3 linked regions of the Rhinolophus ferrumequinum genome follow. The protein of the gene in region 3 purifies or fractionates together with the protein of the main gene of each other region. This does not show direct contact. Links are inferred from orthologs where the notes say so. Each region holds a gene or a part of one and is shown on either strand. Other genes may lie near its edges.

Region 1 (10,896 bases), on a different chromosome or scaffold from region 3:
AACAATGGGAACTTCCCTATCTGAACATATTATAAAGGTCCCTAAGGGCGCTGGGGACTGTGCAAGACAAATAAAAGCCATGGTGCCTGAGAAACCTGCCTTAAGGAAACCTGCCACACCAGCCCTGAGTGTAGTTGGTTTCACAGCAGTATTTGGGGTTAGCCTTAGTTTAAGCAGGGAAAACCCACTTTTTACCCCACCGATGAAGGCAAGCCCTAGAAAATAGAGCTTTGTAAGTTGTAAGTTACAACTCATTGGTTTCATATAGAAGACTCTATTGTTACAAAGGCATCTGGAGGATGAAAAAAATGAGGGACTATGTTAGATAGCTAATTATGTTTTTCAACTAAAAAGACTTGCCTCTAGACTTGAAAGCTATAGTCTGCTTAGGATCCAAACTCTAAAGGTAGAGCCATCTCTGCCTAATTATTAACCCAGAACTCTCTCTGAAGTGTTAATTTCAAGGAAAATGGTTGAATTTACCCAAAAGTAATATTTAACTGATTATAGGGAACAGAAAACCACATTTTGAATGAAAAATCTTCCTTAAAGAAATGATCGTGGTTTTTATATACTATTTCAAAGCCGGGAAAGATTATCATTCAAATTCTTAGCAATGAAATATTGCTAAAGGGATAAACACTTGGGTTTGACAAAAGCCAGTTCCTCAGACTTTGAAATTAACCTCAGCCCATAGCAGACGGCAGGAAACAAGTGTTTCTTTTTTCTCTTTTTAAAAATGCAGACACCATTGTTGCTGGGAAGATTATAAGCATCATTTGTAGATGAAGTCTATAGTTAGGCTCAATTAAATTCAGAGAAGCTGTTCTGTAGAATACAAGTCTCCCATTCTTCAACAAAAATGTGGGCTGCTTATAAACGGCAAGTTCTACAAGTAAGGACTTATGACAACCCTTTTCTGTAGCTAAAATGGCTGCTCTCTTTCCCCCTTGCACCAAGCACCAAATCCTAGTGTGGAATCTATGCAAACCTCTCAAATCCAAGTTTTCATAGAGGATGAGCTAAAAATTGGTATGCAGTCATGGCAAGTGACTCAGCACTTCTGCAACTATTTCAAACCATGAACTTGATCTGTCTAAGATTCAGAAGCCAATGAAAGTGCTCCCAAGTTTCAGGCTGTTTGGTAATAACTATTGGACTGCCGTGAATCCCATTACTGGTCACAATTTGATCTAGACACAATTTTAAAAAATGCTTACAAGTGAACTGAGAGTCCCAGTCACTCAGGGTCTCCTGCTGGGCAGGAGTGAGGTCAGAAAGGTCATCGTACTCATCCTTCAGGGCTTCCTTATCCAGGCAAAATGTGGCGAGGCCCCTGGATGCATCTCTTCCCGCAAAGACTCCATACGGCCCCTCTTTTAAAGACAAAACAAAACCAAAGACCAATTCTTTATTAGACAGTCAAGTTCTCTGTTGTTCATGCACAGAAAATGGCTTCCTTACCCATCAACATAGAAAGCCCTCTTTTGGAATACCCAATTCCATTTGGAAAACGTAAGTGATGTTGATACTTTAATCATTATGTAGTGGATAGTAAAAGATCTGTTGTTATTAAACTTTTAGTGGGAGATGAGGGTAAGGGGGATCAAATATATGGTGATGGAGGGAGAGCTGACTCTGGGTGGTGAACACACGGTGTGATTTATGGATGATGTGGTGCAGAATTGTGCACCTGAAATCTATGTAATTTTGCTAACAATTGTCACCCCAATAAATTAAAAAAAACCAAACTTTTAAATAACTAAAACTAAATCAAAATGTTATACATTATAATTAATTTCCTGTGATTTTCAAATAGCTAATAAAAAGGCCATAAAAGACTATTGCACCCATCCAGGTAATAATGGGTCCACAGGTCAGAATTCAGTTTTAGGACATTGAACCCAAAGCCTGGCTCTGTTCTGGGCACCTGGGCTACACCAGGGAAAGTTATGGTTTCTTAAGATAATAAACACTAAGGTTTTAGTAAATGAACTAAATGCATTCTAATATGTTTTAATGAGTCAAACATATCGTATAGAGATTTTTGGTTGTGAGACTGTATTAAACATTAACATGTGGCACCTGCAGGAGAAATCATTTTATAAGAGTATTAGAAATCTATCCACATGTTACATAATCTTCACTGTCAATAAAGAGATAGCACAGAGATCAGCTCTATCACTGTTTTTGGTGGCCTTGAAGAACAGAAGACTAAAAATCCTAAAACTATCATGGGAAATAAAGGCTCAATCAATATCCCAAACTAATTCTATAAAACATTAGAATGCTATTACATATATTATACTGAACTTTTGTCTAAGAGAGCAGTGACTTATTCTGTAGGTACTTAAAGTGGATGTTTATACTTATTTAAATATTGCACAAATACATAAAAAGAATCCAGTGTACTTTAAACAATGTGTGTTTCCCCAAAGGCTGACTGAGTAGCAACCCTGACATTAAAAAGTTTGTAGGTAACCACTATGTCAAGTATGAAAATGGGTCAAGTTTCAATATGGCCTGGTCACCTGCAACCTCAATCCACCAGGCTTTTTTCAAATTAGATTAACTTTAAGATCAACTTTTAAATGTTATCACCAGAATATTCACTCCATGGAATGTAAACTCCATGAGCCGAGATTTGTTTTTTGTTGTTGTTCACTGCCATAGCCCCAGCACCTACAAAAGTGCCACGCATAGAATAGGCACTCAAATGTATAATTCTTAGGAATCCTTTGTAACATGAAGTATCCTTTCCACATGATGTCATACATTCATGGTATCACGGGCTTATAGTGCAGGGGAGAGACTAAGAGTGGGCCATCCTTATGATTTTAAAGAGGGACAACTACTGTGTTTCCCCGAAAATAAGACCTAGCCGGACCATCAGCTCTACTATGTCCTTTGGAGCAAAAATTAATATAAGACCCGGTATTATATTATATTGTATTATATACCCGGTCTTATTTTATTAATATAAGACCAAGTCTTATACTAATTTTTGCTCCAAAAGACACATTAGAACTGATGGTCTGGCTAGGTCCTTTTTTTTGGGGAAACACGGTAAGGCCCACAGAGAACAATGCTTTGCACTGGGTCACACAGCTAGTCAATGATCCAACAAGGGCTAGAACCCAGGTTGCCTGACTCCCAGTTTTGTGCTCTGTGCACAGGCCTACATTCCTCTCAATGACTTTGCAAACTACAATCATATGATGATGCCTCATGCATGTGTTTTGACAACTTTATGATATAGCTCAGTAATAACAGGTATTTACACGATTATGTTTATTGATAATGCCTCTAGGTGTGCCGCTGTAAGTGACAATACAGGTGTGGTTTTTAAATTATTTTGACAGTTACATGTCTGCATTAAGTAGGTCTATTAAATGATCCACAAGGAAAAACTGCTAAGTGAGAGATCCTTAAAAATTTTAACATATCTGATTTTTTTGAGTCAGACTGGGAGACTAAGACAAAGCAGAAGTGGGAATGGCCAGATTGCTGCCTTCTATACTCTTCCAGAGCAGCAGGGAAGAGAACGCTGTCAATGTGGAAACGTTCCCTGAGCTCCCTGATTTTAGAAGAGTCCATATTGGAGGAGTTAAAATAAAATGTCTTCCACCTCCTCTGCAAATACTCTTTAAAGCAGAGCTTTCCAAACCTGGCCTGGGGAAGCATGTTAAAAGTGCAGATTCCAGGTGATCTCCCCCAGAGACTCTTCCGTTGTTAAGGTGATTAGGCCAGAGTCAGTAGGTTAACTCATTTGCATCAGGTGATTCTGATCCAACCAGGCTTAAAAAAAAGCCACATCACTAAGGCACCTTCAAGCCTGCCTCCTCCAACAGCTCAGCAGTCATCCATCCACCCCTCATTTCATTATCCTGAATCCCCACACCCAGCAGCCTTCAGAGTCCTACCCCTTTTGTTTCTCAGGATCCTCCCACTTCTCCCTCCCTCCATTTTAATTTTTTTTTTGGCTTCTAGTCCTTTCTCTCCTGATGTAGTTTAAACTACTATATTACCTCCTCATGTTGCTACATTCCCATTGTCCACCACATCCAGCCTTTATTCCTCCTTCAACCAGCTCCCTTCCTCCTACGGAACCTCCCTTGTTCAACTTCCATCTTTTCCCAGTCCGCCACACACAGCGCGCGCACACACATGCCACACACATACCTGACACATGCCACACTCCAAGCACGCGCGCACGCACACACTGCCCGACAAGCCACATACACTGACAATGCACACAGAGCGCACACTCACATCATTCACCCCCACGCACGATGCGTCTACCTGCTGGTAATCCCTTCTCCCACACCCTCACATCCGACCAAGGCTACTCCTGGCGTCATCGGCCTTCACGTCCTCTCCAAGGCTGGATCTCCCTCCTCCAGACCTCCACCCATGCCTCCCTCAAGACACCCACATTTCCTTTCTTCAGCCCAACACCGCACCCTCCTTTCAGGCAACCTCAAACCTAATACCTTCGAAAATCCCCCAACACTGCGTTCTGCTGTGCCCCCTAAACGTTTCCAGACTCGCGATTTTATCCACCCACCCCGGCTTAAGGGCATCAGACTCTCCACCCCTTATCCCCGCGTTAGCGGCGCGAGGCCGGGAATCTGCGTCTCCCACTGGCCCGCAACCCTTCTAGAGCGTCCCTTGCCCGCGGTGGGAGCCGTCGGGCCATCACCGCCTGCCCGCCCTCACTGGCTCGTCGCCATTCTTCCCCCCGGGGACGCTCTGCTCCCCCCTCAACCCTCCCGGATTTTGCCCCGTGCCGGGGCCCCTTCCTTTGTCTCCGCGTCCCCAGGGCGGGCCGCCATACCGGGCCCGTAGAACTTGCGACCTTTGGTCACATCGAACACCTTGCCGTTGATGGCCATGAGTATGCGCGGGTCCTGGACGCCGTCAAAGCGCCGCAGCTCGGCAGGGGTGAAGTCGCGCCGCTTAAGGCGGGGCAGCGGGGGCGGCTCGTCGTCGTCGCTGTCGCTGCTGGCCGCCGGCTGGTCCCCGCGCACGATCTTGTAAAGCAGGAAGATGCAGAGACCGAGCAGCAGCAGGTTGAGCGGCGACATGAAAATCTCGTTCAGCAGCCCGCCCTCCATCTCGTTCGGGTCAGCGCCCGTCGCCACCACATCCTCGGCAGCCATGATCACTGAAGCAAAGGTTTGAGCTGGGTGGGGAGGGCTCCGGAACTCGCTGCTTTCTCCTCCCTCTCCGAGAGCTAGTGACGCCTGAGGATCTGCGGACAAGGACTAATCAGGGGAGGAGGCGGGGGAAAATGGGCGGAGCCTCCAGCCCCTCCTCTCCCGCAGCCGCTGTTGCGCGCGGCCCGGCTGAGTCCCGCCCCGCCCAGCCCAGGGCCCCCATCTTCCTGTGGATCGTAGCTCCCTTCCCCCAGCCAGATCCGGCCTTCCAGCCAGAGAGATCGCTGAGTCCACCCCTCAGTTCCACCTGCTTGGCCCAGGTCCCCACTAGACGTAATCCTCACGCCAACTGGCTCACGGCGACGCAGGGCGTAGCCCTACTCCGCACCCCGCTTGCTCCTGGCGCAAAGACCCCCTTGGAGAGCCTTGGTTCTGCTAAGCTCTGTCTGAGACCCTCTGTCACTTCATGCCCACCAAACACCGACTCCATTTCTCTTGCTTCAGGCTTCTCCGTCGCCTCAATTTCGAAGCCTCATCTTTCCCCGGCCATACCCCAGGGCCTCCAGGCTTTCTTGGAAGACAGGAAATTTACTCCTCGAGCTCCTTTTTCCACCTTTGAGACCCAGCCTACCCATTTTCACCTGAGGAACCCCTATTCGCTCTCATGACGACACTTCTCCAATCTCCCCCCGCCCCAGACGCTGTGGGGTGAACACCCCCGGGATAGCTAAAGTCAGTGTACAGGCCCCCATCTGACAACTCCCCCCCAAATCTGGGAAAACGATCAGATTGCGCGATTTACTATGGGTTCTTTCTCAGAAAACTAAATCCTTTTGCGATCACTGATTTGCTCAGTCCCAACGCATCAGCAAGCAACATTCTGTTGTGCTTTTTTTCCCTCTCAGAATAATGAGAAAAGTTTCTTTGACAGCTTTCTATTTGAAGTCTATCGAACGACGCTTGGCAGTCATAATAACCCTGTGCTGAAGCCCGGACGAAGGCGGGAGTTTGGAAGGATCCTAGTAGATTTGGTTCCTTTCTTTCCTAGGTATTTCATCCAGCCTTTGGTGTGCTAGCCGGCTGCACAGGAGCAGGTCTTATGGAGGAAGGGCTGTCTATACCCTTTAGAGTCTTAATCTGGCTGCCTCTTTATTGTGGCAGGGGGAGGGGAGCCGAAGAAAAGGTGGTGGGGGGGGGGGATAATTAAAACCAAGCCATGCCAACATCTGCAGCCCAGAGCTGTACTTTTCCGTGAGGAATTCTGTTCGCTTGCACATAACTTACTCCCCCTCCCAACAAGCAGGCTTCTTACTTCAGAATTCTGAAAATTTCTGGCACAAACAGCTTCCATCCCTGCCCCCATCCCATCTTCTTAAATCCTTTAAAAATGCATGTGAGCTGAACAATCTTTAAATCTGCCCACGCATTTTTTTTCACAGATCTAAATTTACGATAAGCTGAAATGGTCGTTTTAGATCATTTGTCAAACTTCTTCAATTTAATCAAGGGAAAACAGGCTCAAAATCAGCTGTACTTAGGATCTAATTATCTTTTTAAAAAATTGTATGGCCAAGACAGTTTTACAAACCAACAAACTTGTGAAAAATATTTTCATTTGTAACCAATATAATAGACAAAGGGTTGATATTTTTTAAGACCTCATTTTAATTGACAAGAAAAATCCAGAAGACTCTAGATAATAAATGGGCAAAAATAGAAATAGGTAGTACACAGAGGAGGGGATACTAATGGTGGATAAGTATATGAGAAGTGTTAAGTCTCACTAGCAATAAAAAATGGAGATGGAAGGAGAACTGACTCTGGGTGGCGAACACACAATGTAATTTATAGATGATGTGATACAGAATTGCACACCTGAAATCTATGTAATTTTAATAACAATTGTCACCCCAATAAATTTAAAAAACAATTAAAAAAAAGAAAAAAATGGAGATACCGCTGTCATGCTCAACGTTCCTATAAGAAAGATAAAAGCAAAAAAAAAGGATGGTATACAATGCTGGCAAGCGAGTGGTGAGACTCTTGTCATACCGTTGGGAGGAGTAAAAATTGGTATAACCTTTTGTTATCCATAAAAATATTTTCTATCAATTAATCCCACCTCTAGAAGTCTGCTCTTTCATCCAGTAATTCCACTTCTAGGAATCTATCCTAAGGGAACACTTAGAAATACAGACAAAAATTTTATTACTGAGATGCTCATCAGAGAATCATTTTTAATATGGAAAAACTGGAAATAACATGAATGTTCAATTTCAAGAAATACCTAATTAGTCGAATTCAATTGTGACAGAACTATTAAATGGTGTATGATACAGTCATCCAAGTATTATCATGACATGGGAAAATACGTGTATTTATGTTTTAATCTTAAGCAGCAAAACAGGATACAAAACTATATACAGTATGAACTCAACTATGTAAAAAAAACCCCACAAAAAATGAGTAAGCGGTAGCACGAAAGGAAACATGCTAAAATGTTAACTGTTGGGATTGTTACTTCCTTCTTTATTCTTTTCCACATTTTCCACAATAAGCACATGCCCTTTTAACTTCGGGGAGGAAAATGGTTTATTATTCCTTTTCTGAAAAAAAATGTAGAATGGTAATACATGTTTACTATAACAAACTTTATATGTACGTGTATAAAGTAAAAAATGAAACTCATCTCCCTCTCCCAACTCTCCAAACAATCTTTAGATCCGGCCTGCACATTAGCAGTTTGGTTTATATTCCTGTAGACATATGAAACACAGACACAGACACACACACACACACACACACACACACACACACACAGATTTTTACTTATAAAACTGGGGAATTCTTTATTTGTATTTTTAAATTACAGTTGACATTCAGTATTATATTCGTTTCAGGTATATATCTTAGTGGTTAGACATTTATATAACTTCTAATGTGGTCCACCCAATAAGCCTAGTATCCATCTGGCACCATACATAGTTATAAAAATATTATTGACTACCTTCCCTATGCTGTACTTAAAATAATAAATGATTCATCAGTTTTTTTCTAATAAAGAGATACAAAGTAAAAAATAAGAATAAGCCATTAGCTCCCACCCAGATAACCCCTGTTGGAATTTTTTAAAAGTCATATTCATTTAAGGTGAAAAAATTCAAACTATGGGAAGATACAAAAGGTAAATTAAAGCCCCTTTCCCCACCCCTGATTCTCTCTCCTCAAAGGTAACCACTATTAAAAGTGGGGGATATGTCAGACAGAGACAAATACTGTATGATAGCTCTTGTACGAGATCTGACAATTAAGTTCGCAAACTTGACACTGTGTGCTTACATTGGCAGCACTGTACAAACAGCTCGGTAAGGTTTCATAACTTTGGTATGTCAGTGTCTCGCAGCTGTGTTTGTGTTGACGTGTGGCGGTGTCTTGCTGAGTGGCGTTCATTATTGTTGTTGTGTGTTTTTGTGTGCTGTTGCGAGAATGTCTGAGCTTGAATTAGAACAATGAACAAACATTAAATTTCTTGCTAAACTTGGCAAGAGTGGAAGTGAAATCAGGGACATATTAGTCCAAGTTTATGGGAATAATGCCATGAAGAAAACAGCAGTGTACCAATGGATTAAATGTTTTTCTGAGGGGAGAAAATGAGTCACTGATGAAGAGAGGTCACGGCAGCCAGTAACGAACAGAACTGACAAAAACATAGCAAAAAATCATCGAATTGTTTATCAAAATTGTCAGCTGACTGTGAGAAGCATAGCAGACTACGGAAACATCGATAGAGAAACAGGAAAATCTTACTTGAAAATCTTGGCATAAGAAAGGTGTGTGCAAAAATGATCCCAAAGGAGCTCACTGATGAACAAAAGCAAAGGAGAGTCAAAGTTTGCCAAGACCTTTTGGTGAGGCAAGGTGATGTTTTGGGCCATGTTATCACTGGTGTAGCAATAGGACCCTGAAACAAAGCATCAAAGTGCACAAGGGAAATCAGACAATTTTCCACGACCAAAAAAGTTTCGTCAGTTCAAATCAAGAGTCAAAACAATGTTGCTAACATTTTTTAATATTGGAGGGATTTTCATTATGAATTAGTACCAACTGGACAAACAGTTAACCAAGTTTACTATTTGGAAGTGCTAAAAAGGCTGCATAAAAAAGTTAGATGAAAAAGACCTGAACTTTTCGCCAACAATTCATGGCTTTTGCATCACGACAATGCACCAGCTCACATGGCACTATCTGTGAGGGAGTTTTTAGACAGTAAACAAATAACTGTATTGGTACACCCTCCCTACTCACCTGATCTGGCCCCCAATGACTTTTTTCTTTACCTGAAGATAAGGAAATATTGAAAGGAAGACATTTTGATGACATTCAGGACATCAAGGATAATACGATGACAGCTCTGATGGCCACTCCAGAAAAAGAGTCCCAAAATTGTTTTGAAGGGTGGACTAGGCGCTGGTGTTGTTGCATAGCTTCCCAAGGGGAGTACGTCGAAGGTGACTGTAGTGATATTCAGCAATGAGTGATGTAGCACTTTTTCTGGGATGAGTTTATGAAATTAATTGTTAGACCTTGTATAAATGCTTTAAAACCAGACTTGATGTTAAGTAAAGTGGGATCTTAGGTAACACTGCGATGTTGAGATTGTTGAATAAAAGCATCCCACCAGTCTGGCTCATGTCAGAATATTGGGTGGAAAGGTCTTGTCCATAATGATAGTTCTCAAGTTCTCTGGAAGTAAGCAAGGTGCTCCCGACTAAAAAAACCACTTCAAAACATGAAAGTTGCATGTTCTTTGGCTTCAAATCAATTTCGAAAGCCTATATATTTGACCTGGGGACTACTTATTTCCCAAGATATGTACGTTAAGTCTTTTAATGTTTCCAAACTTCCTGCCTCCTTTAAATTATTTTCAAAGATTTTTAAGAGCTTTTAAGGAGAAATAGCACAATTGGCTGATTAGCTAGAAAATGTGTGGGAAGTAATTCAACCTCCCTAGTAATCAAATAAATCCAAAGGAACATAATAGCAAAATACCATTTTCATCATTCAAATTACTGAAGTGTTCTTTTTGCCTTTGGCTTCTTAAAGCATTTTAAGAAAGGTAATACTTGATGTTGGGAAGTATGTAACAAGACAAGAACTCTGACACAATGCTGGTGAGAGTGAAATTGCTAGAATGAAAGATTAATTTTGTTCACCAATTTATTTAAGCCCCTAGACCATGTCTGCTATGTAGTTGGTGACCAATAAATATTTGTTGAATTAAAGTACATTGTGAGTGGGTCCTTTCAGCAACATACATTAAGAGTCTTAAATTATTCATAACCCGTGACCAAGGAATCTAACTTCCAGAAATTTTTGCTAGGGAAGTACTCAGGGATATGAACAGATATTTGTATAGAAAAATCACAAAGCATGATATAATAGCAAAAACCTGGAAACCACCTAAGTATCCAAGGATGCTCCCCATCTCACTCATAGTAAAAGCCCAAAGTCCTACAAGAACCTACAGGATTTGATCCACCCCACCCTACCCTTACCTTTAGGACTCTAGGACCTTGTTTCCCACTTCATTCCATTACTATACTCTAGTCATAGTGACCTCCTTGCTGGCCTTCGAACAATCAGGTATATTCCAGTTCCTTTGTACCTGTGATTTCTTTTGTTGGAATGCTCTTCCCCAACTATTCTTATGTATCATTCTCTCACTGCTTTCAAATCT
Region 2 (10,920 bases), on a different chromosome or scaffold from region 3:
ATCAGTAGGAAAATGCAAGTCAAGGGGTGGCCGGTTAGCTCAGTTGGTTAGAGCGTGGTGCTAATAACACTAAACCCAGGCTTAGAACCAAGGTTTCCACTTAGATCCCTGCAGGGGCCACTGTGAGCTGCGCCCTCCTTAAAAAAGAAAAAAGAAAAGAAAATGCAAATCAAAACCACTATGAGATACCACTTTGCATAGGATTGCTATAATAAAACAGGTGGACAATAACAAGTGTTGGAAAGGATGTGGAGAAATTGGAACGCTCGTATGTTACTGGTGGGGATGTCAGATGGTACAGCCGCTGTGGAAGACAGTTTGGTAATTCCTCAAAATGATAACCCTAGAGTTTCCATATGACCCAGCAATTCCATTTCTAGGTATTTACTTAAGAGAAATGAAGACACATGCCCACATGACGACTTGCTTGTGAATGTTTCTAGAGCAGCAGTATTCATGGAAACAACCTAAATGTTCATCCACTGGTGAAAGAATAAACAAACTGTGGTATTTCCATACAATGGAATACTACGCGGCAATAAAAAGGCACAAAATACAGATACAAGCTACGGCCGTGAGTAAACCTCAAAAACATTACGCTATGTGAAAGAAGCCCGGCAAAGAAGGTTACATATCGTATGATTCCATTTATATGAAATTCTAGAATAGGCAAAGCTATAAAGACAGAAAAGCAGATTAGTGGTTTCCTGGAACTGGGGTGGCAACGGAGGTTAACTGTTGCACAACTCAGTAAATTTACTAAAAATCATTGAACTGTACACTTAAAAGGAGATTTTTATAGTCTGTAAATTTCACCTCAATTAAGCTAGTAAAAATTTTATGACATATTTGCAGTTGGTTCATTGCTTTTGCAGGAACTGCAACTACAGTGTTGAAAATATTCAACTAAATATATTCCATAGTTGGAAATGCTCTAATACACTGAGTAGGCAGATGCAGTGATTTCAAGGCAATGCCTTTTATTCAAGCTTCCTTCTCCACAATGATCTTCTAAATTATTGGACTTTTTCCAGAAGAAAAGTTCTTGTAAATCTTTTCTGCATTATTACATAATAAAGTCCGGCTGATTTATATTTGATTTTATATTTGCATATGTTGTTGAGCAGAAATGTCCAAAGTCAAGGAGAATGAGAGACCATTCTTCCTTGTGCAGGGCTGTCCTGCATGTTCTAGAACGTCTACCTTTTCCTGGGCTCCATTAAATCCTCCAAGTGCCTCTTAAGGGTGGTCTCCACTAAAGACGCAAGTTCCCAAAATGTCCCCTAGGGGGCGACCACTGCCCTAGGGAGTCACCTCAAACGCCTGGGACTCAGTGCAGTGTCCACTAGGGGTGTACCAGGTGGCCATACTGTGTTCCTCTGTCCCCTTCTTAAAAGATGTAGCTAAATGCCATGGATGGACAACTGAGAAATGAACATAAGCGAAGAGCAGAAGTGCAAAAATAGTTTGGCTGACCCAGCAGTGGAGTTCTGATTCCACTTGGGCCAGCCCTGTGCCAGGCTGCGGCTTGGCTCTGACAGCAAACTCCAGCCCTGGAGACTGGTTAGGTTCCATGTCATACGCTCCTTGCTCTTTAAGCCTCAAACCAACTCCCTAAAGAGGACGCCCACCCCCTCCCCCAAGTCCCACTGTCACCTCCAAGGTCAAATCAAAGAGAGACACTTTCTCATTCCATGCACAGAATAGTAGATGCTCAAAAAATACCAGATGGATGAATGAATAAACCAATCAACCCACGACCTGACCTTTCAGCTCTGGTTTCTGATCTGAAGATACCCCACTCCTCCTGATGACTGGTCCCCAAAATGACTCCTTTCTCCAGTAAGACCCTGTCTGCCCCTGACTAGGGTATGGCTTCCCTCTTGCATCCATGTGATTAACCAACTCTGTTTTCCCCCAGCTTCATTGAGATGTAATTGACATATAACATCGTGCCAGTTTAAGAAAATGTATACACTACACGATGATTACAATAGTTTGATTAACCAACTCTTAAACAATAACCACGGCATTCCCGGTAAAGCCCAGTGCAAACGGAAAGGACTTGAACCTCACGCGCTATCCTGTATTTTTTTCTCAAGATAATAGCCAATCTTTCGTGAGTGCCTATTACATGCATTGGCCCGACGGGCCCACGTTACAGATGAGAAGACTGAGACCAACAGAAGGTAGGTAAGTGGCAGAGCGAAGCCTAAATTCAGATCCGTCCTACGCTGAAGCCCAAGCCACTCTTAGTCGTTATGTCCAAGAATGCTCCCTGAAATATGCTCCCTGAAAGAGTCCAAGAAATATGCTCCCCGATATTTCAGTAGCATATTTTTAGCCTTCCTTAATGTGATAAACACGTGCAGAGTAAATTTCATGGGTCCTATTTCTTTGGAACCTCAAAACATTCCACTCAGAGGAGAGCACAGACTCGGGGCTCAGTGTTTGCTGAATAAGTAGGTTGTTATCAATCACAGTCCGCTATGCAAGGCCCTGCCTGTCGGGTGTTTCAGGGGCGTCCTTGGTGTGGTTTGAAGGAGAATGAACTTCAGAAAGAACGAACCTAACTCTGAACATGATTATTAGGGTCAGAGAGAGACCCAGTGGAGGGGGCTTGGTTCAGGCTACCGGAAGGACGGCTTCAAATACTGAACACCCAGGACCTGCTGGCACATTCCCACTGTTCTGAGCCTGAGGGGACAGACAGGAAGTATAACCGTTATAGTTATTCAGCCTTTATTTCTTCCCTCCGGTAGTCAAAGGAGACGTGTGTCCAAGACCTCTACCTCATTTCTTGTTTCCTCTGGCCGCCACCCTTTCTCTCCTGTCCCCTAAAGGAGAAGACACGGGGAAGGGTGTTTTAGCATGGACACCGGAGGGATTTCACAATTTAAATCCTCGCTCCATGACTCCCTACCTCTGAGATACTGGGAAGTTACTTGACTTCTTGAGCGTGTTTCCTCATCTCCAAAACTCTTGCCTCAAGGGTTGTTAGGAGGATTTAATGCAACACTGCATGTAATGTTATTGTTCATGCCAAACTTCTGGACCGAATTGCTACACTCGACGAGTCCTCTCTCAGACTTCCTCTTCTCCAAAGGCCAACTCCGCCCTCCCGGCTCCAAAACCGCTCTCACCTGACTTTTTACCTCACTTGACACAGGACCCCTCCCTTCTTGAAGTGCTCTCCTTTGTTCCCATGACTCTGCCCTCTCCTGGTTGGATGTCGCCCCCACTTCTGGCTGCTCCTTCTCCTTTGCAGGCTTCCCCGCCTCTTTCTGCCTGCAGGTGTTCTTTGAGGTTTTATCCTCGGCCTTCTCTTCTCGTAAATCACGCCCACTCCGAAGAGACAACCCCATGGCTTTGATTACCTACTAGTCGCTTTTGGTTCCCAAATCTCCACCTCCAACCCCAATCTTTCTCCTGCGGTGGAATGCAATCTCATGGGGCCGTGAGAACTCTGCCTTCCAGACCTTTCCTCTGTGTGTCTCCCATACACCTCAGCAGGCCCATCATGAGATCGTCCCCTCACCCAGCCAAGCCCGCTCTTCCTCCTGTGTTCTTTCCCCAGGAATGGAAGCCCTTCCTCCCGGAACCTGGGGCTCCTTCCTGACTGTAACCCCTGTCCCCCTCGCCCCATCATTTCTCTCCTGAACTACAGAAGCCTCTCTCTTGGCCTCCTAACCTCCCCTTTTCTCCTCCAATCCATCCTCCAAGAAGAACTAGATGGTCTAATTAAAATATAAATTCCGAAGCTACACTCTCCATCCTCCACTCCTTCAGTGGGTTCCACTCTGCCCTGAAGAGGGCTTCGGGGATCTTTGTCCCACCTTCACGTCTCACCCCTCCATTTGCACATATGGTCCACTGGGCTGCGTCCCATTTCCTTTCATAGGCTGCGTTCCACCTTGCCTCTGCTCTCCTCTACGCCACCCGTCCTTTCTTTTTCTCTCTTGAAAAAAATGAGTAACTCCTCTTTTCCATCACGAATGCCTCAGCCTTACCATTATTGCCATTAGTACCATTTTCCTGACACCGCTGGCTGGATTAGGCACCCCTTCAATGAGCTCCCCAACTCATACAGTCAACAAATAACGGGCGTCTACTACGTGCCGGGCACTGTTCTAGATCCTGGGGCTACCGCAACAAATACGATGATGAAGCTCCTAGCTGTTTGGAGCTTATGTCCTAGAAGCTGGTAGACACAAAACCAGGCAAACTCATGTGGCCATGAGAACTAGGAAGCAAAATAAAGGGGTAAGGCGTGCTGGATAGAACCAGTGAGGGGGATAATTGTAAGACATGACTTTAGAGAAGGAGGCCAGGGGCCAGCTTCTGCAGGGCCCTGGTGGCCAAGGAATCTGAATTTTGTTCTAAGATGGAAATCCACTGGAGAGTTTGGTGCAGGGAAGTGAAAAGATCAGATTTATATTTTTAAAAGGTCATTTTGGCTGCTGTGTAGAAATCAGACTGTAAGGGGCAAGTGCCAAGACAGGGAGACCAGCTGCCAGTTGGAACCTGCCACAGGACTTGTCCCCTTGGCCACAGGACTTGACCCCTTGTTCTCCATCCTTCGACCCTGAGTCCTCGCAAAGGGTCTTCCTTCCGTATGCATTCCTGTTCACCTCCATTCAGCCTAGTTAATGCCTATTCATCTTTCAGAACTCACTTCAGACGTCATTTTCTCCAAAAGATTCTCTCCCTCCACACACACCTCTCCTGTAACACAAGCTCATAGCCCTTACGTCTCCTTTGTAGCTCTTATCACAATGAATTAATTGTACAAGTGGCTTAATGTCAGTTACGGCGCCCAGTGGCCTGCTAACTCGTTTGCCTGCTGTTGGGTCGGTGCGTAAGCCCAGGAGGGTACGGACCAGTCTGTCCTGGCTCCCAGGCGTATCCCCGGGGCGCGCGGGGCGCTGGTCCAGGGCCCCACTGAACGTGTGTCGAATGACTGAAGAATACATCAATTACACAGACCTTATTCCCACTCCACCCCTCAAAAAACAAGAGGAGGATTCGAAGATTCGGTCCCTTCTTCTTCATTACTAAATTACGACCATCCCTACAAATAATAGCAATGATGACGAAAAGGAGAAGTGCAAACGCAGGGAGGGGAGAGTTAAGACGCAAACGGTGCTACATCCAGCGCGCCTACCGTGGGCGAAGCGAAACAGCAACCCCATCCGGAGGCGAAGGGAAATCCCACTGCAGCCCCGCAAAGCCGGGGGGGAGGGGCTGGAGAAGGGGGCTCCGCCGAGCCCGCGCCCGAGAGGCTGCGCCCCCAAGACGCGCGTCCGCGAGACGCGCAGGGGGCGGGGCGGGGCGGGACCGGGCCCCTTCCGCGCTCCCTACTGGTCTTCCTGGGGCCGAACGGTTCTCGTTGACCAGCCGTAGCCCAGATGCGGCGCAAGCGTATTCGGGGGTCTGCTGGGCGGCGGGAAGCGCGCGTGCGCCTTGGCGCACACCCGCCAGCACGCTGTCCTGGGCGGGGGGAGACTGAATTCCCTCAGTGAGTCCAGCCCCCGGAAGTTGAGCGGGATTCTTGAGCTTCCTCCTTCGAGAACCTCAGGATAGAGAACATTCAGTGCCCAGAAGCTGTCCCTTTGGGAGCACCAATTTCTAGTCGCTCCTACCTCATTTTGTCATCCAGGCCGCACCCCAACCCTCCCTGGGGCGGGGTTGTTATGATGGTGAATTATTCAAGAAGCCTCGCAGCCTGCCGCCATCTGTGGACAGCGCCCCTCCTTCCTCCCTTCCTTCCCTGCGGGGCACGCGGCTGTCGCCAATATCATAGGGTCGGGAAGCTTTCCAGGCCCCACTCTGTTACTTAAGTAACTTGAGCTTGTTGAGGACCTACTAAGTGTTAGACCCAGGGCAGTGAGCCAGTCCTTGCTCTCAGGAGCTTACGTTCCATGGGATCACACAGACGAAAGCAAGGTAATTTTAGATAGTGCTAAGTGCCCCCAAACACTGTGGCAGTGTGAGAGAATGACTGGGGTGGGGGTGTGGGGATGCTCAGTGAGAAGGTGAGAATGGAACTAAGACCCGAATTAGGTAAAGGCAGTGGCCACAGGAGAGCGCGTTGAGTGCTTGGGAAAGAGCTGGCGAAAAGGCGCTGACCATCGTCTCAGGAGGAGTTTGGAGATTATTCTAAATACAATGGGAAGCCATCAGATTTGGGCGGAACCTTGATGTGACATGATTTCTTATCATTTTGCCGAGTGGAGAATGGATTGTTAGAATGGAAATAGATCCATTTAGAGGCTGGTAGCTTGAGCTGGGTAGCTGGTGAGACATGGATGAATTCAGGATAGGATCGGATGTGTTGCTTGAGGGCAAAGAAATCAGGATGAGTCCCAAGCTTCTGGAATGTGCAGCTGTGTGAGTGGCGGCGCCACTTGTTGAGAAGGAACCGTTGCAAGAGGAACAGGTTCTGGAGGTGGGAATCAAGAGTTCAGTTGTGACCACGTTGAGGCTGAGATGCCCTTAGACATCCCAGGAGAGATTCGAGTTGGAGGTTGGAGCGCATGGAGAGGTCAAGGAGGGAGTTCTTCGTGAACACATAGCTGGTATTTAAAGCCGTGGAGCCCGTGGGTTTTGGTAGAGACAGCAACAGACAGAGTGGAAGTAGAAAAGGGCCGAGGGGAGAGCCCTGGGGCCTGCCAGAGTTAAGCAGTCCAGTAAGGTATAAAAATCGCAAAGGATAACGAAAGGGTAAAGTAGGAGGAAAAAGAGAATATGTCTTCAAAGACTAGAAAGGGAAAAAGTCAAGAGGAAAGACGCAGATTTTCTGAGTAAATGCTTCTTAGAGGTCAAGTGAGATGCAGGTAGAGAAACGGTCATTTCACTGGGTCTGGTATCTTTTGGTTACTGAAAATTGTCAGAGTAGCGCCTGAGGAGAGGTAGAGTCAGCAGCTGTGGGGGTAAGTTCAGGGAAGGAAGAAAACCTTTTTCTATGAAAAGGAGGAGAGATACAGTGTGGCAGCTGGAAAGAAATGTACGAGTTTTGGCAGAGTTTTCTTAACTAGGAGAGATGCTAGAACAAATTTCATTGGTGATAAAGCATGATCCAGAAGAGAAGGGGAAAACTGAAATTTATTGAAGGCTTAGTGTGTGAAGGCTTCTTAGCTTTAGAAACATTTGTCCTCACCATATTTTACAGGTCAGGCAATGGAGGTTAAATAACTTGCCCAAGGTCATGCAGCTAGAGGTGGCAGAGCTGAGAGGCCAGCCAGATTTTTATGACTTCATGCCTCACCACCCAATTGCGCAGACACACAGCCCCCTATGCTTAGACACCCGGGACATGCCTTGTCCGGCCATAGTTGCCCTGGCAAATCAAAGAGAGCTACTCTCGTGCTGGGGGGTCAGGACTTTTCCTCCTCCAGTGCTGTAAGCAGGGGCATCTCCCCCACAGCCTGAACACCCATGCACCACAGGACAGAAGCTCTCCCAGGCCAGAGGAACAGAGGCAAGCAGCAGGAGCCCCCAGAGGTAGGAGGGAAAGGGATTCTTTTGGGGGGTGTTGAGCGGATTTCTTTTTGTGCCAGCCAGTGCAAGGGAATGCTGGGGGCTGCTGGTCCCAACCAGCTGGTGCCCACGGCCCCAGTATTCATCTGTTCAGTGTGGCAAGAAGCCCAGGTCACAGCCCAGTCTCCCGGTTGCCCCCATTGAGGCTGAGGCTGTGGGGTCGGGTACCACGCTCCAGCCGGCGGCCAGACAGGAGGCGCCGCAAGGAGGAGCCGGAGCTCAGATCGCCACAGCTTCGAAGGTGGAGGCTCTCTCGGCCTGGCCGGCCCCACGGGCTCCGGGGCACCTGAAGGGACACAGGAGTGGGCATCAGTGTGGCCCAACCCAACCGGCAGCTCCAGGCTTTCCTGGGTATCCTCCCAGGCTCCCCTAATGCCTACCTGCTTATGCCCGTGGGCTCCATTCCCACTGGGCTCTGGGGCCTTCCTGGACATCTGGAGGAAACGAGTGACCAGGCCCCGGCCTGGCCAGCTGCCCTTCAGGTCCCCCAGGGAGTGGGCGGGTGCAGGGCCCGAGGGCAGGGGGACCTTCTGGAAGGTGGGCACAGGGCGCCGTTTCTCGGCTGAGTGGGCACGCAGCAGCTTGGGGGATGGGCATCGGGCTAGCCGGAAGAGGCAGGCGTCAGAGCAGAGCCCTGCAGAGAGAGAGAGAGAGGTTGTGGGTGGAAAGGGACAGGGATACACGTGCGGAGAGTGCCAGGCAGCACGCCTTGCCCCGACCCCTGGGCACGGACCACATGGCTGACCTGTATCTGCAGAGGAAACAGAAGCAACTTCTTCCTCAAGCACTTTGGTATAAAGGTCCCTGAAGTCAGCTGGGGAGAGAAATGGACCTAGTGGACATGCTCAGGGGACACGCCCACGCAGCCCACCACCCTCCTGTGAGGATTCAAGCCCACAGGCGCTTTCACAGGTCCCACGCCCCATCCCCTCTGCTCTGAGATGGGACAGTTAGTTCACCGACAAAGGGACAGGGGCGGCATCCTTCACAGTGGCTACCTCCCCGGGGCGGGCGGGCACACATGGGGGTAGTGAGCACGTCCTGGGCCAAGGCTAAGCATTTTCCTCGCGTTATCTCATTTCTCAGTAACTCTACCGTACCTATGGTTGGGGTACCATTGTGACACCTGTTTTACAGGTGAGAAATTGAGGCTTCGTAAATGGCCCAGGTGGGAGCTATAGAATTGGGTTTCAAAGAACAAATCCTGCTCCCTTTAGCCACAAAGCTATACTGATGTTGTTTTTTCTAGGAGGTGAACACTCGAGAAGTGTCTGCCGCAGGGGCGACTCACCCTTTCTCCTCGGGGACCTCGACAGTGTCCCAGATCTCTGGCAGCACTGGCCCTCCACCTCCCAGTACCTACCCTCCTGAACCTCGGTGGGGCGGGGTGGGGGGGCTGCTCACCGGTGTCGCTGGAGGTGGTGATGCCGGGGTCACTGTGGGACCGTGGCAGCAGCAGCGGGGAAGGGGGAGCCGGATGAGGAGGCCGGTGCCCCGGTGGGGTGAGGGAACCTGAGCTATCGCTGAAGCGGCGGGTGGGGGCTCGGGTGGGAGGGGCTGCAGCTGGCCTGCTGCCTCCCCGGGGGACCCGGCGCCTCAGCTCCGGGAAGCAGGGTCCCGCCCAGGGCGGCCAGCCCTCCAGCCGGTGACAGCTGCGGGCGGCTGTTGGGGCACCCAGCGGGGGTGGGGCTTCCGGGGCAGAGCAGGAATAGGAGCGGGCGGCCCGCGGCGGCCGTCGGGGCAGCGGGCTGTCCTCAAAGGGGCCGCGCAGGCCGCAGTCCAGGCTGAGGCAGTAACCCGCGCGGCTACGCTGAATGGAGCGGAAGAGCACGTAGTCCACGGAGCGTACGGAGCCCTGCAGCTCCAGCAGGCAGGAGTCCTCGGACGGGCTGGAGCCCCCCGGGAGGTCGCCGATGGCTGACAGCACCAGAGACCCGCTGTCCATGGACACTGTGGGCGGCAGGGGGCGCTGGGTAGCACCAGCCCCACCCGGCCTGGGCAGTTCTTCTCCGGCCCAGCCTCTGGGGGGCCACGCTGCCTCCAGTTTTATCTCAAAAGAGACAGGTAAGTCCAGGGTTCCAAGAAGCCACCGCCCTCGCTTGTCCCTACACCACCAACTCAGCCTCCTCTCCCCCTTTTTTGCTCCTTCCCCAGCTCTGCTATCCTAGGCGGCCGGCCCTTGTGTGTGCCCCCACCCACCACTTTCTGCTCACCATCTACAATGGAGGCCACTCTCTCGCAGATGCAGGAACTGTCATGAAGCTGAGGGTCAAACAGAGTGGCCTGCAGAAGGCACAAGAGTCAAGAGTCCAGCCCCACACACTGACACGGCACCCCCATGTGCTGGACAGCGCACTGGGGGCCTGGAGTGCAGTCTAGCTGTGTCCCTTTGCACAAGTCACTCATGAGGGCCTCAGTTCCCACATGTGTAAAATAGAAATAATAGTTCCTACCCCACGCACCTCACTGCGCTCTAGGGAAGATCAAAGTGGTGCACTAGTGTTATAGGATCGTGAGAACTATTATCTGTATCCAGTGACTGTGGCCAACTCACTCAGCTTTCTGGGCTCTAGCCCTGGCTCCCTCGCCCATACCAAGCCGTGCTCTTACCTGGCTGTCTCCTCGTAGCCCCATGACGGCCTCATAAGAAGGGGGGCAATCAGTAGGGTACGAGGGCACTGGGCTGTCCATGGAGCCATTGTAGGTGATACTGGCAGGAGAGGGGAGAGGGTCAAAGCCTGGAGAGCTCCTGCTCCACAAAGACCCTCCCCACCATCCCAGGCTGCAGCCCCGCCCCCTCCCCCTGCCGTAGCTCCCTCAGCAGGGTCCAGCAGGCCTCACCTCTGTGCATCTGTTTCTGAGCTGCAGGTGTACTCTGGGGGATAGTAGGGAGGTGGGGGTACAGGCGGTACAAATTCCTCCAAGTCCAGCATGGTGTGCAGGAGAGGGGCTGGGGGCGAGGACGTACAGGCCAGAGGCCCCAGGGGGCCTGAGACTGAGCGCTCAGGAGCCAGCTGCTGGGGAGCAAGCAGGTCAGCAAGCCTGGTTTCTGGGAACACAACTCTGGCTCCCAAACTCCTCTCTTATCTACCTTTTTCTGGCCCCACCCCCTCCAAGAAGCTCAGTTTGGGCCCCTCCCTCAGCCGGAACAAGCTCCTCCTCTAACCCTGCCCCCACCAAGGACCTCCAGCTCTGGCCCTGCCCATCTAGAAACGACTCCTTTATGACCCGGTCTGCACCCAGAATCACCACGTACTTTCTGTCACCTCCAGAACATCAACCCTTTATCCCCACCCCCATCGAGGACCTTCTTGACTCCGCCCAACTTCCAGTCTCACTCTCTAAGGCCCCTCCCCTGGCCCCAGACTGGCATGACATACT
Region 3 (10,312 bases):
CCTCTCTGTGGCTTTGGTCAGCTTACTGAACTTCCAAGAGTCTTCTGCCCTATGTTACGTAGATAATAGTATTACTGACTCAAAGGCTTGTTGTGAAAACATACAAAGATAATACAAAGTTTATCAGATAGATATCAGAATCTAGTACTTTATAGATATACCCAAGTCGTTTGTTCTTTGATGCAGAGAAGTACAACCAGTAAGTCCATTTTCAATTCTCATACTGGACCAAAAGGTCTAATATGCCTGCCTACTCCTCCAACATATTTCAACAAAACTGAACGATTTTGGGGGCAGCTGGTTAGCTCAGTTGGTTAGAGCACGATGCTCGTAACACCAGGGTTGCCGGTTAGATCCCTGCATGGGCCAATGTGAGCCGCGCCCTCCACAACTAGACTGAAACAACTATTTGACTTGGAGCTGATGGGTCCAGGAAAAACACTTAAAATAAATAAAAGTTAAAAAACAAAAAAATAAAACTGAATGATTTTGCATAACAAGAAAAACTCGCTTTCCTGCAATTACATTATGGGATTTCTTCTTTAACTCTTCCTTGCAATAGTGCACATACAATCTTAACATTTGGATATGGAAATGTCCATGTTTATCGATCCCCCCCCCCGCCCGCCGCTTTGTCACAAATTACTTTTCTTTATGAATTCTCCTAAATTTATTTTTGGTTAATAATTCTGTTCGCAGCACACATTCTAAAAAAGACAGTCCATATTAATTTACTATACACATTTAATAATGTACATGAAACTTCAATTGAACACAAAATATTCTATTTAACAGAAACAGACACATTCTGCATCAAATTTTAGCAAATTCAGACAACTACTTAGATCAACTTTAGGAATGGGCAAACACTAAAGAAATATTAAATTTGTCACCTTCAAAGGCAGAAGCTTTATCCTCAATTAAGGGTCCCTTATTGAAGGGGCCTATTAAAGCAAAAAACAATTCTGTTAAATTGTTAAAGAAAGAGATCTTTAAAACAAATGGAGGTTCAGATTATTTTTAAGTTTATTAAATAAAAATGTTTGTATTTTATCTTTGTGTCTACTTTTGCATCTATTTTCATGAGATATTGGTCTATGGCTTTGGCTTTCTTTTCTTGTGAAGTCTATCTGGCTTTGGTATCGGGGTAATCATTGGCCTCACAGAATGAGCAGGGAAATGTTCTCCCTGTTCTTTTTTTGTTCTTTTTTGGAAGTCTGTGAAGGATTGGTGTTAATTCTTCCCTAAGTATTTGGTAGAATTCACCAGTGAAGCCATTTGGCTCTGGGCTTTTCCTTGTGGGACTCTGTTAATAAATTCCAACTTTAATTCCTTCAATCTATGAAAAATTAGAAAGAGGAACAGAAGAAATGGCCTAGCTAATGTTCTTGTTTGTTTTTTTTTAAAAAAAAAAGGTGATTTTTTTTTTTTTTAAAGGAAGTGTGTAACAAAAGGTGAGGAGGCAGTCTTTCATGTAGGCTACCCATTCATCTTTTTAAAGTCTTTCTGGGTTTAAATACCTTAGGTTGTCTGATTTAATCCTCACGAAAATCCCAGGAGGTTCTATCATCCCCATGTGACACAGGACGAATTTAAGACTAAGAGAAGTCACACAAACTGTCCAAGGACACAGGTTAGACACACAGTATTGTTTATGAGCAGGAACTCATCAACTCCTTAGGTAGTGACTTGGCATATTGGGTGAATTATTCATTTCAGGGCCTCAATGTCTTCAACTCTAAAATGAGAATAACATCACTGTATACTTCTTCGGGTTGTGGTATAAACAAAATGCATGGGAGGCACTTACGAAAGTGCCCAGCTTACAGCATATGCTCAGTACCAGCAGTGAGCTCTATTACTATGGTTGCCAAGGGATGCCATTTAAATTTTAATGGTTCTAAAGCTCTAGAGTTTTAAGGCAAATAAAAAATTGTTCAATCTTAGACTAGAAAGGAAGCAGTTAAAAGACATCTGATTCCGGTCACAGATAAACTGTTTTACTTTTACTACCCTTTTGTGCCTTCTGATTTTACCACGTGCTAGTCAAAAAACAAAAGCACTTAAAGGGGAAAAAGTATATAAAATTCCAAGTGGTCTTTATTGTAAATGCTCATCCATTTAAAAAGAGATTCATACTACCTTTAGTTTTGAATTTTGTTTTTCAGACATGAGAATTGATTTTTCCATAGTACATTCTTTTTCGTTATAAAATACATAGCTTTAAGATGTGAACACTCAAAATATACTGAAGATCGTCTAAATTCTTTAGAAAACAAAATTCTCCAAATACTTTTCATAGCTCAGTATTAAGCTTAATTTAAAAGTACATTATGTTGCAGTAAACAAAGCATTTAACCAGCACTTTCCTGACAAAGTTCAACAGCAAGCTACACATAGTTTACAACTCTGTTCAGGCACTTTTAGTATTTCCTAGGAATTGTTCTGAGCTGCCAGTTCTGTTTGCACAGTTCATTACACTATTCAAAGTAATTTCATGTTCGTCATCCTAGCTGTCCCTCCCAATAGCCCCCTAATGGTAAGGTAGACAGAAGACTTCTCATTTCCATTTTAAAGATGTTTAACCGAAGTATTTCATAAGCTAGTTACCCATGCTGGGCCTGGAATACAAGTCTCTTGAGCATGCACTGATGCTTACCAACTGTCACTTCATCCCTTTAAGCTATTTGCGGGGCATAGTGAACTCTGTAACAAAAAGGATGCAATAGCCTGATTGCCAAAACTGCAGCAACAACTTGTCAAAACGTTTACCGCTCGTGGTCCTTGAAGATAATGTGCTAGTTGAAACTGTTGAGTTAAGATAAGATAGTCAGGTGTAGAGGGATGCTGACACCCATTTTCAAACAGGTCAGAAAATGTTTGCTGCAGGATACATTCACTCCAGTGCAGTTCACCCTAGCCTTTCTATGATCGTTACCCGGCTTGTTTGCTTGTGCACCGGGGTTGGAGCACAGAACTCCCACGGTTCTTTACCTCTGCTCTAAGTATAATTATAACGTATGTACAACATGGCAGTGATTCTATTCATGACCCTCAGACACTGCTGGAAAAAGACTAAGCTACAGAACGGTTTTAAATATCAACAGAATTCTTCCCTTTAAAAAAAAACTTTTACTTATTAAAAATATCAAGCAAAATGTTCCATTTCCTAAATGAGACTTAACTGTGGCTCACCTTTGTCCTCCTAAGCTTTTAATATTCAGCTCAGTTTAACTTCCCTCAACCAGCATTCAGTGTCATGCTTAGCAGTTGATCCACTAGGTCCAGTTTTTTCCTCTCATTGCCATAAATATGACTGCAGGCCCTGGGAAACAGGACTTAACCAACTTTAAGAGTAGGATGTCTGTCAGTGTGGAGGACCAACAGCATCAGACTATAATTTATTGCAGTAATTTGCTGTGTAGTTAGTATGTATCAGACATCTTTGTCCTATTTTATACACATCTTAATTTAATTCTAATAACTCCAACAGGTATTAGTATACCCATCACTTGGGGAGAAACGTGGTACAAAAGGTAAGTAAATTGCCCAAGTTCACACAGCAACAAACGGCTGATGAAGGCCATGCAACAGGGCCTTAACCTTAATACCAAAACTGCCTAGCCCTCAACTATAATCCCAATGTGATCATAAAATTAACTGCATGACCTTGGGCCAGTCATTTCATGGCTTCGGGCCTGCCTGTTCCTCCACTATCAAACGACCTGCCCACAGTGAGCTTTTGGGTGCTTCCCTGCTTTTAATGTCCGGTGAATTTGCGATTGGATTACACCCCACCCCCTAACAGGTAAAAATGTTAAGACAAGTTTTTCAACCACTGCGTGTTCTAGCACATTCTCTTCAGGGTGCTAGGAGCCAGTCTTCGCCCTGCGGTTTTATTTTCAAATATTGAACCTGTAACACTAGTCCTAAATATTGTCTGTCGGTCCGATATCACCTTTCCCAGTACTAAGGGTAGTGACTAAGCCCGATCCCACTCCAGATCTATAGCCGGTTACTCCAGCCCACCTCGAGGCTTCTCAGGCAGCCAGCAAAAGGCCTGAGAAAGCCCTGGAAGCAAAGCCATAGAAAGAAGCTGGTTTTCGCTGAGGTCGAGGTAGGCTTCAGGGCACCTGCCACGCCTCCCAACCCCAGCGGCGCGGCCTGCGCCTGGCTCCCCAACCAAGGCGGCCCAGGTTCAGGCTCGCCCCACACGGCCGGAGCCGAGCGTCGGGCCGGGCCTGAGCCCTCGAAACCCAGCCCGACCCCTCCGCCCCGGCCACGCCCGACCCCTCGGCCGCGGGGCCGCGCACCAAGGCCCCCGGGGTCTTCACAGGCCCTAAGACACCCGTAGGCCTCCAGTCTCACCTCGAGCCTCCCCGAGACCGCCGGCGGCGCCCGCACTTCCTCCTGCCCGCACACCTGGCCCCACGCTGCAGGAGAGACAGCAGCAGAGGCGGCACGACCGTCACGTGCCGCAGAACCAAGAGGCCTAGGCTGCCGCTGCACCTCGCGAGCGAGCACCGCCGCACGAAACCCGGCCCCACGTCCTCCCCTCGCTCCTGAGTAGCTACGGCTAGTGCCAAGTTCCGCCCCCACCGCGCCAGCTCCGGAATGCGGTTGGTCAGTGTGGCCATCGCTCTAATCACCTTCCCATACGCCCCCTAGGGCTATTCTTCGTGGAGTGTGGGGGTTGGCTGGGAGTGAGACAGGAAGTGGCTGTTGGTTGGGCGGGAGGGGAAGGGGCGGGCCACGGCCGATTGGGAACCGTGGGCGCGCGCCCTGGGGCGGGGCCCGCCCGGCAGGCGTTCCCGCGCCCCGTTGCCCTGGTGTCTTAATGGGCAGACTGCCGGGCGTTTCAACCGAAGGTAGTTTCGACCCTTCGGTTCCTGGATCCGGGCCCCAGGACCGGCATGCCGTTCCCCTCGCTGTGGGGGCAAATGGCAAGCGGCTGAAGGAGTGGGCGGTCTGGCGGACCATCGGGAAGGGCCATTTCCCCTTGCAGCGAGTGCGAGGCCCGGACAGGGTGCAGGCGGAACCCGCACCGGCTCCTTCCGCACGGCCTGCAGTTGCCTGCACAGCGCTGTGTAACCACGCGTCACCGTTCCTGCAGAGTCATCGCTCTGGGCCTAGCAGAGTGCGGCCTCCACTTTACCCATGGAAAACTAGAGTCCAGAATGCTGTAATGCAAGGTTTTTTTCAACTTTCAATTTGTGATGTTTCCTGAAGTACAATTAGTACAACAGACACCCGACAGGATTGAGAGAAAAGGATGGTGCAATGGTAAAAGATTTCAAACACACAATTTTTGAAGCCCACTTTTAGCGCATCTTCACTGGTCAATATGCCGCCTCAGGAAATGGAAGTAGCCTAAGGTTTTCTTAGACCTTTATGGGTCCTGGTCTCTGCCTTCCATTTGTTTGGATACCCAGAGGCTGATTCCTAGAATGGAAAAAACTAGAATCAATAGGTGTATTACCTATCTTAGAACAAGCTTTATTCCCTCATGCCACCTAGTAGGGGAAAAGAGGTGTTAGAGTGTGGTGTTTGCATGTTTACTTGAGTTTAATATTCTTAAACTCCCAGCCCCCAAATTTGCGTAAGGGAGTTTTGCTTTCTTGTTTACTCGGGGAAGTGGATATTCAAGGCAGCATAGTATTCTGGATGCCACATGTTCCAAACAAGGAGCTTAAAATGTAGTTACAGAAACTGTATGTGAGCAAAACAGCTACTCCAGCAAAGGTATATGCTAAAAGATGGTGGTACTAAACAGAATTTGGTGGGGTTTTGAGTTGCGAGGAACTGCTTTTCACCTGGAATGGACAGGGAAATAGGTAAGACTTGAGCTGGGCTTGGCAGGATACGCAGGATTTCTATAGGTGGAGAGTTGGAGGAAGGCTTCTTTAGATGAGGGAACAGCATATGGAAAGGCAGGAAAATGGGTATCGTGTGTTTGGGAACACCATGTATGGAAGTGTTTGAACTGGAGAAAGGTGCTCAGGAAAGTCAGCTCCAGAGCTGGTTAGGAGCAGACCTTGAAGGCCTAGCCAAGGATTTGTAGGGAGAGTTTTTAGATTTGGATCACAATTTAGATTGTTTTTGAATTATTATTTTAATATTATTTCAGGGAGGTCTGAAAGAGAGACAGACTAGCAGCTGTGAAGCTGGGTAGGAAGCCACTTTTTGCAGTTGATTAAAGTGCAGGATTAGGAAATGGTAGGTTTATGGAAACAAAAGCATTAACTGTCGATGCTAAAGAACGGTCCATTGCATTCAGGGGCTAGGGAAAGAGCAACCAAAGCCAACACTAAGAGTGTGAGCCTAGGGCGGCCGCATAGCTCAGTTGGTTAGAGCCCAGTGCTCTTAACAACAAGGTTGCCGGTTTGATCCCCATATGGGCCACTGTGAGCTGTGTCCTCCACAACTAGATTGAAACAGCTACTGGAGCTGATGGGTCCTGGAAAAACACAAATAAATAAAAGTTTAAAAAAAAAAAAAAGAGTGTGAGCCTAAGTGATGGGAGGTGAAGTGTGGAGCCCCCAAAAAGAGGGAATTCATGCTTGGCTGGTCCTGGGGATCCTGGGTCTGGGCTCAAGACACAGCAGGCTCAAGACAGTGCAGGACTGGAAGACCTGCAAAGGATCCTGCCAGGGATTTTTCAGCTAAAGCATAATGTTTCAAAGGCGGAAGCCAAGGACAAACTTCCAAGGACAGAAATAAGATTTCCTTTCCTTCCTTCCTTCCTCTCCTCCCCGCTCCTCCCTTCCCCTCTCCTTTCTCCTCTCCTCTCCTCTCCTCTCCTCTCCTCTCCTCTCCTCTCCTCTCCTCTCCTCTCCTCTCCTCTCCTCTCCTCTCCTCTCCTCTCCTCTCCTCTCCTCTCCTCTCCTCTCCTCTCCTCTCCTCTCCTCTCCTCTCCTCTCCTCTCCTCTCCTCTCAATTTGAAAGCAGTCACTGTTTATTAACTGACCAAATTACAAAAATAATCATGGTAATCATCTCAGTTCATCCTTCTAATAAACCTGTCGATCCGGTTTCTCCTGGAAAAGATAATTTGCAGGCCGCAGGAAGTTGAAGGTTTTTCAACGGTATGGATCTCATGAATCAAATCCTCCATGCAGATGATGCCATATTTACCATGAGACGGAACAGTCTAAGTGTTATCTCAGGGCAATTCACTTCCTGTTGATTTTGCCATAACCACACTTATAGATCCATTCATTTCTGACCTCAGATTTGGGTACCCCCATGCAATATATTGTTCCACGCCCCCAGCATGTTAACTGAAGTTTTGTTGAGCTTAACAAAGGTGCCATTGAAGATCCAGTGAAGGGAAAGAAACTGCAACACCTTTCAGATCCTCATCTATGTTAACATTGAATGCTTTTAATTCCTGAGTAACATTCTGTTGTACAAGTATGCCATTTGTTGCTTTTGAATCATTTGTGCTTTTAATTCCTGAGTAATATTCTATCCTATGAATGTGCCACAGTTCGCTTATCCATTCATCAGGTAATAGACACCCGGCTGCACCCAATTTTTGGTTATATGATATAAACCTGCCATACACATGGTGTACCACTCTTTGTATAAACATATGTTTTAATTTTCCTTTAATAACCTTTTTCGAGGTCTACTACCTCAGTTGGTAGTTACGTCCTCCGGCTGCTTCCTGAGAAAGACTGTGTACTAGTTTTTTTGAAATCTTGCACATCTAAAATTGTCTGTATTCTGCCCTCTGACAAGGAGAAAATTCTGAAATGTCCTAAATTAAATTACAGCACACTAAAGGGTGGAAGGAAGAGACAAGAGCGATTAATCAAATAACAACTGCAGGGCAAAACCAACAAAACTGCTTACATTCCTGAGTATATGTTGAAACTGAATTAACTTCCAGGTGACTATTTGTACAATTATCTAAAGAGAATGTCCAGTCACCAGTACTTCTTGCTTACACCTTCTGGACTGTTGCCCACCATCAGTCTAAAGGAGCAAACATGTCTTCCTTACAGATTCTGCACCTAACCCAGAACTCTTCCCGCGTCACCATCTCCCACTCTTTTTATCTAAAGCCAATGTAAATTCTTTCAAAACAACATACATGTTTCTTCCCCAAACTGTTTCCATAAAAGCCCATCTACCCCAGGATTGTAGACATCTTGCCTTCTCCGTCTGGCCCTGCTGTTGGTGATTCAGAGTGCATGCGCAGGACCTGGTCCTTTTCTGACTAGTGTTTTGGCTCAATAAACCCCTTCCTTCAGAAAAGATTTTGGCCATGAAATGTTTTTTGTTTAACACCTTACATCATTTTTTTAAACCTTATTGAAATATAATTTACATACCATAAAGTTTGCCTACTGTAAGTAAGATTCAATACTTTTTAGTAAATTTATAGAATTGTGCAACCATTATCACAATCCAATTTTAGAATATTTCCATCACCCAAAAGTTCCTGTGTACCCATTTGCAGTCAACTCTTAGCCAACCTCAGGCAACCATTGAACTGCTTTCTCCGTCTATTGATTTCCCTTTTCTTTATTTCATATAAATGGAATCATACAATATGTGGTCTATTTGATTTCTTTTACTTAGCATAATGTTTTTGCAGTTGATTCATGTTGTAGCATGTATCAGGAATTCATTTCTTTTTATTGCTGAACAATATTCCATTGCATGTGTGGGGGAGGCACAAACTATCCTCTACCCTCAAGGTTCTATCAGCTGGTCTAATAATCAAATAGACATGAGACAAATTAGCAAGAGAAAATAAAATTTAAAGCACACATATGTATAGGAGCCCCATATACAGGAGAGGTTCAGAGATAGAAAGGGAGATTGAGATACATAAGATACCCTGAGCAAGGGATGATGTAAGGTGCCTTCCGGACCTCAAAGGGTCATTGCAGGATGATAAGAGCAGGCACTCAATAAATAGAAGTCTGCCCTGCCCTATAGATAGGTCAAAAGAAGTTATTTCTGATAATCGCTTATGGACAAGGCCTCTAATTCAAATTCTTCTAGGTAGTTAAAAGAGAGGGGCAGAAGTTTCTGAGACTGAAGCTAAAATTGCCTTTAGCTCAAAGTACTCTGTATACCACTGAGGCACTTCTTGGGGTGGCTCATTCTGGACCCCCACACATGGGTATACCACATTTTGTTTATCCATTGAACAGCTGATGGACATTTAGATTGTTTCCAGGTTTCAGCTATAATAAGTAATGATACTATGAACATTTGTACACGAGTCCTTTTTTTTTTTTTTTTAATTGGGGAAGGGGACAGGACTTTATTGGGGAACAGTGTGTACTTCCAGGATTTTTTCCAAGTCAAGTTGTCCTTTCAATCTTAGTTGTGTAGGGCTCAGCTCAGCTCCAGGTCCAGTTGCGGTTGTTAGTTGCAGGGGGCGCAGCCCAGCATCCCTTGCGGGAGTCGAACCAGCAACCTTGTGGTAGAGAGGATGCGCTCCAACCAACTGAGCCATCTGGGAGCTCAGCGGCAGCTCAGCTCAAGGTGCTGTGTTCAGTCTTAGTTGCAGGGGGCATAGCCCACCATCTCTTGTGGGACTTGAGGAGTCGAACTGGCAACCTTGTTGACAGCCCACTGGCCCATGTGGGAATCAAACCAGCAGCCTTCAGAGTTAGGAGAACAGAGCTCCAACTGCCTAAGCCACCAGACCGGCCCCTGTACACAAGTCTTTATGTGGACATATTTCCATTTTGTTTGGGTAGTACATCAAGATAGAATTGCTGACTTGTAGGGTAAGTTTAACTTTTTGAGAACAAAGTGGCTGCTTTATTTTACATTCCCCTGGAAGAGGGTTTCAGTTTCTCCACATCATCACCAACAATTGCTATTGTCTGTCCTTTTGATTACAGCCATTCTAGTGGGTGTGTAGTGTGATATCTCACTGTGGTTTGTTCCAAATCCAGGGAGCTCCCTCTGGCAGTGAAGCCATTGGCTTTTGCAGCCTGCCCTGTCCCGGTGCAGCTTATCCTGCTGACCAAGCTAGGGGACTGTGAGCAGCCCCAGGCAAAAATGCCACAGATCCTTACTGTTCTCACCCAGATTTCAGCAGTTATTCATGGATAAGTGCTTCTCAATTTCTCATTTGCTTTTGGTCGATTTCCAGAGCCCTGTTTAAAAATTATTTTCTCCAGTTTTATAATTGTTTTCTGGAGAGAGAATTTGCTGACCTCACTCCACCAAACTGCTATTCTCATACTTTCAGGTTAAGATTTTTTAATCTAAACTTTTCCCTGTTTCCTCTAAGTTGCTTTTTTCTTTTCTGTTTGCTAGCCTTGGTCTCCATGTTTTA

Evidence for each region.
Region 1: the proteins of CANX (region 3) and PGRMC1 purify together in Homo sapiens (affinity purification with mass spectrometry; 3 studies listed by BioGRID and IntAct, with this or other methods). This does not show direct contact. The link is inferred for Rhinolophus ferrumequinum from reciprocal best matches to the Homo sapiens genes CANX and PGRMC1.
Region 2: the proteins of CANX (region 3) and GBA1 purify together in Homo sapiens (affinity purification with mass spectrometry; 3 studies listed by BioGRID and IntAct, with this or other methods). This does not show direct contact. The link is inferred for Rhinolophus ferrumequinum from reciprocal best matches to the Homo sapiens genes CANX and GBA1.

Annotation. Positions count from the first base shown.
Region 1 is NC_046284.1:37,650,496-37,661,391, forward strand, and holds the start of PGRMC1 (membrane-associated progesterone receptor component 1), read right to left. Parts: upstream 5,263-10,896; 5' UTR 5,163-5,262; coding exon 4,838-5,162; intron 1,377-4,837; coding exon 1,221-1,376; intron 1-1,220. UniProt on the Homo sapiens protein: Component of a progesterone-binding protein complex. Binds progesterone. Has many reported cellular functions (heme homeostasis, interaction with CYPs). Required for the maintenance of uterine histoarchitecture and normal female reproductive lifespan.
Region 2 is NC_046305.1:266,714-277,633, forward strand, and holds the start of GBA1 (lysosomal acid glucosylceramidase), read right to left. Parts: upstream 5,263-10,920; 5' UTR 5,193-5,262; coding exon of another isoform or gene 5,165-5,192; intron 1-5,164. Other genes in the region: protein ENTREP3, read right to left, coding at 7,652-7,825, 7,920-8,173, 8,285-8,353, 8,944-9,489, 9,753-9,822, 10,150-10,249, 10,381-10,556. UniProt on the Homo sapiens protein: Glucosylceramidase that catalyzes, within the lysosomal compartment, the hydrolysis of glucosylceramides/GlcCers (such as beta-D-glucosyl-(1<->1')-N-acylsphing-4-enine) into free ceramides (such as N-acylsphing-4-enine) and glucose.
Region 3 is NC_046307.1:2,866,073-2,876,384, reverse strand, and holds the start of CANX (calnexin), read right to left. Parts: upstream 4,553-10,312; 5' UTR 4,369-4,552; intron 1,651-4,368; exon of another isoform or gene 1,521-1,650; intron 1-1,520. Other genes in the region: CBY3 (protein chibby homolog 3), read left to right, coding at 4,838-5,137. UniProt on the Homo sapiens protein: Calcium-binding protein that interacts with newly synthesized monoglucosylated glycoproteins in the endoplasmic reticulum. It may act in assisting protein assembly and/or in the retention within the ER of unassembled protein subunits.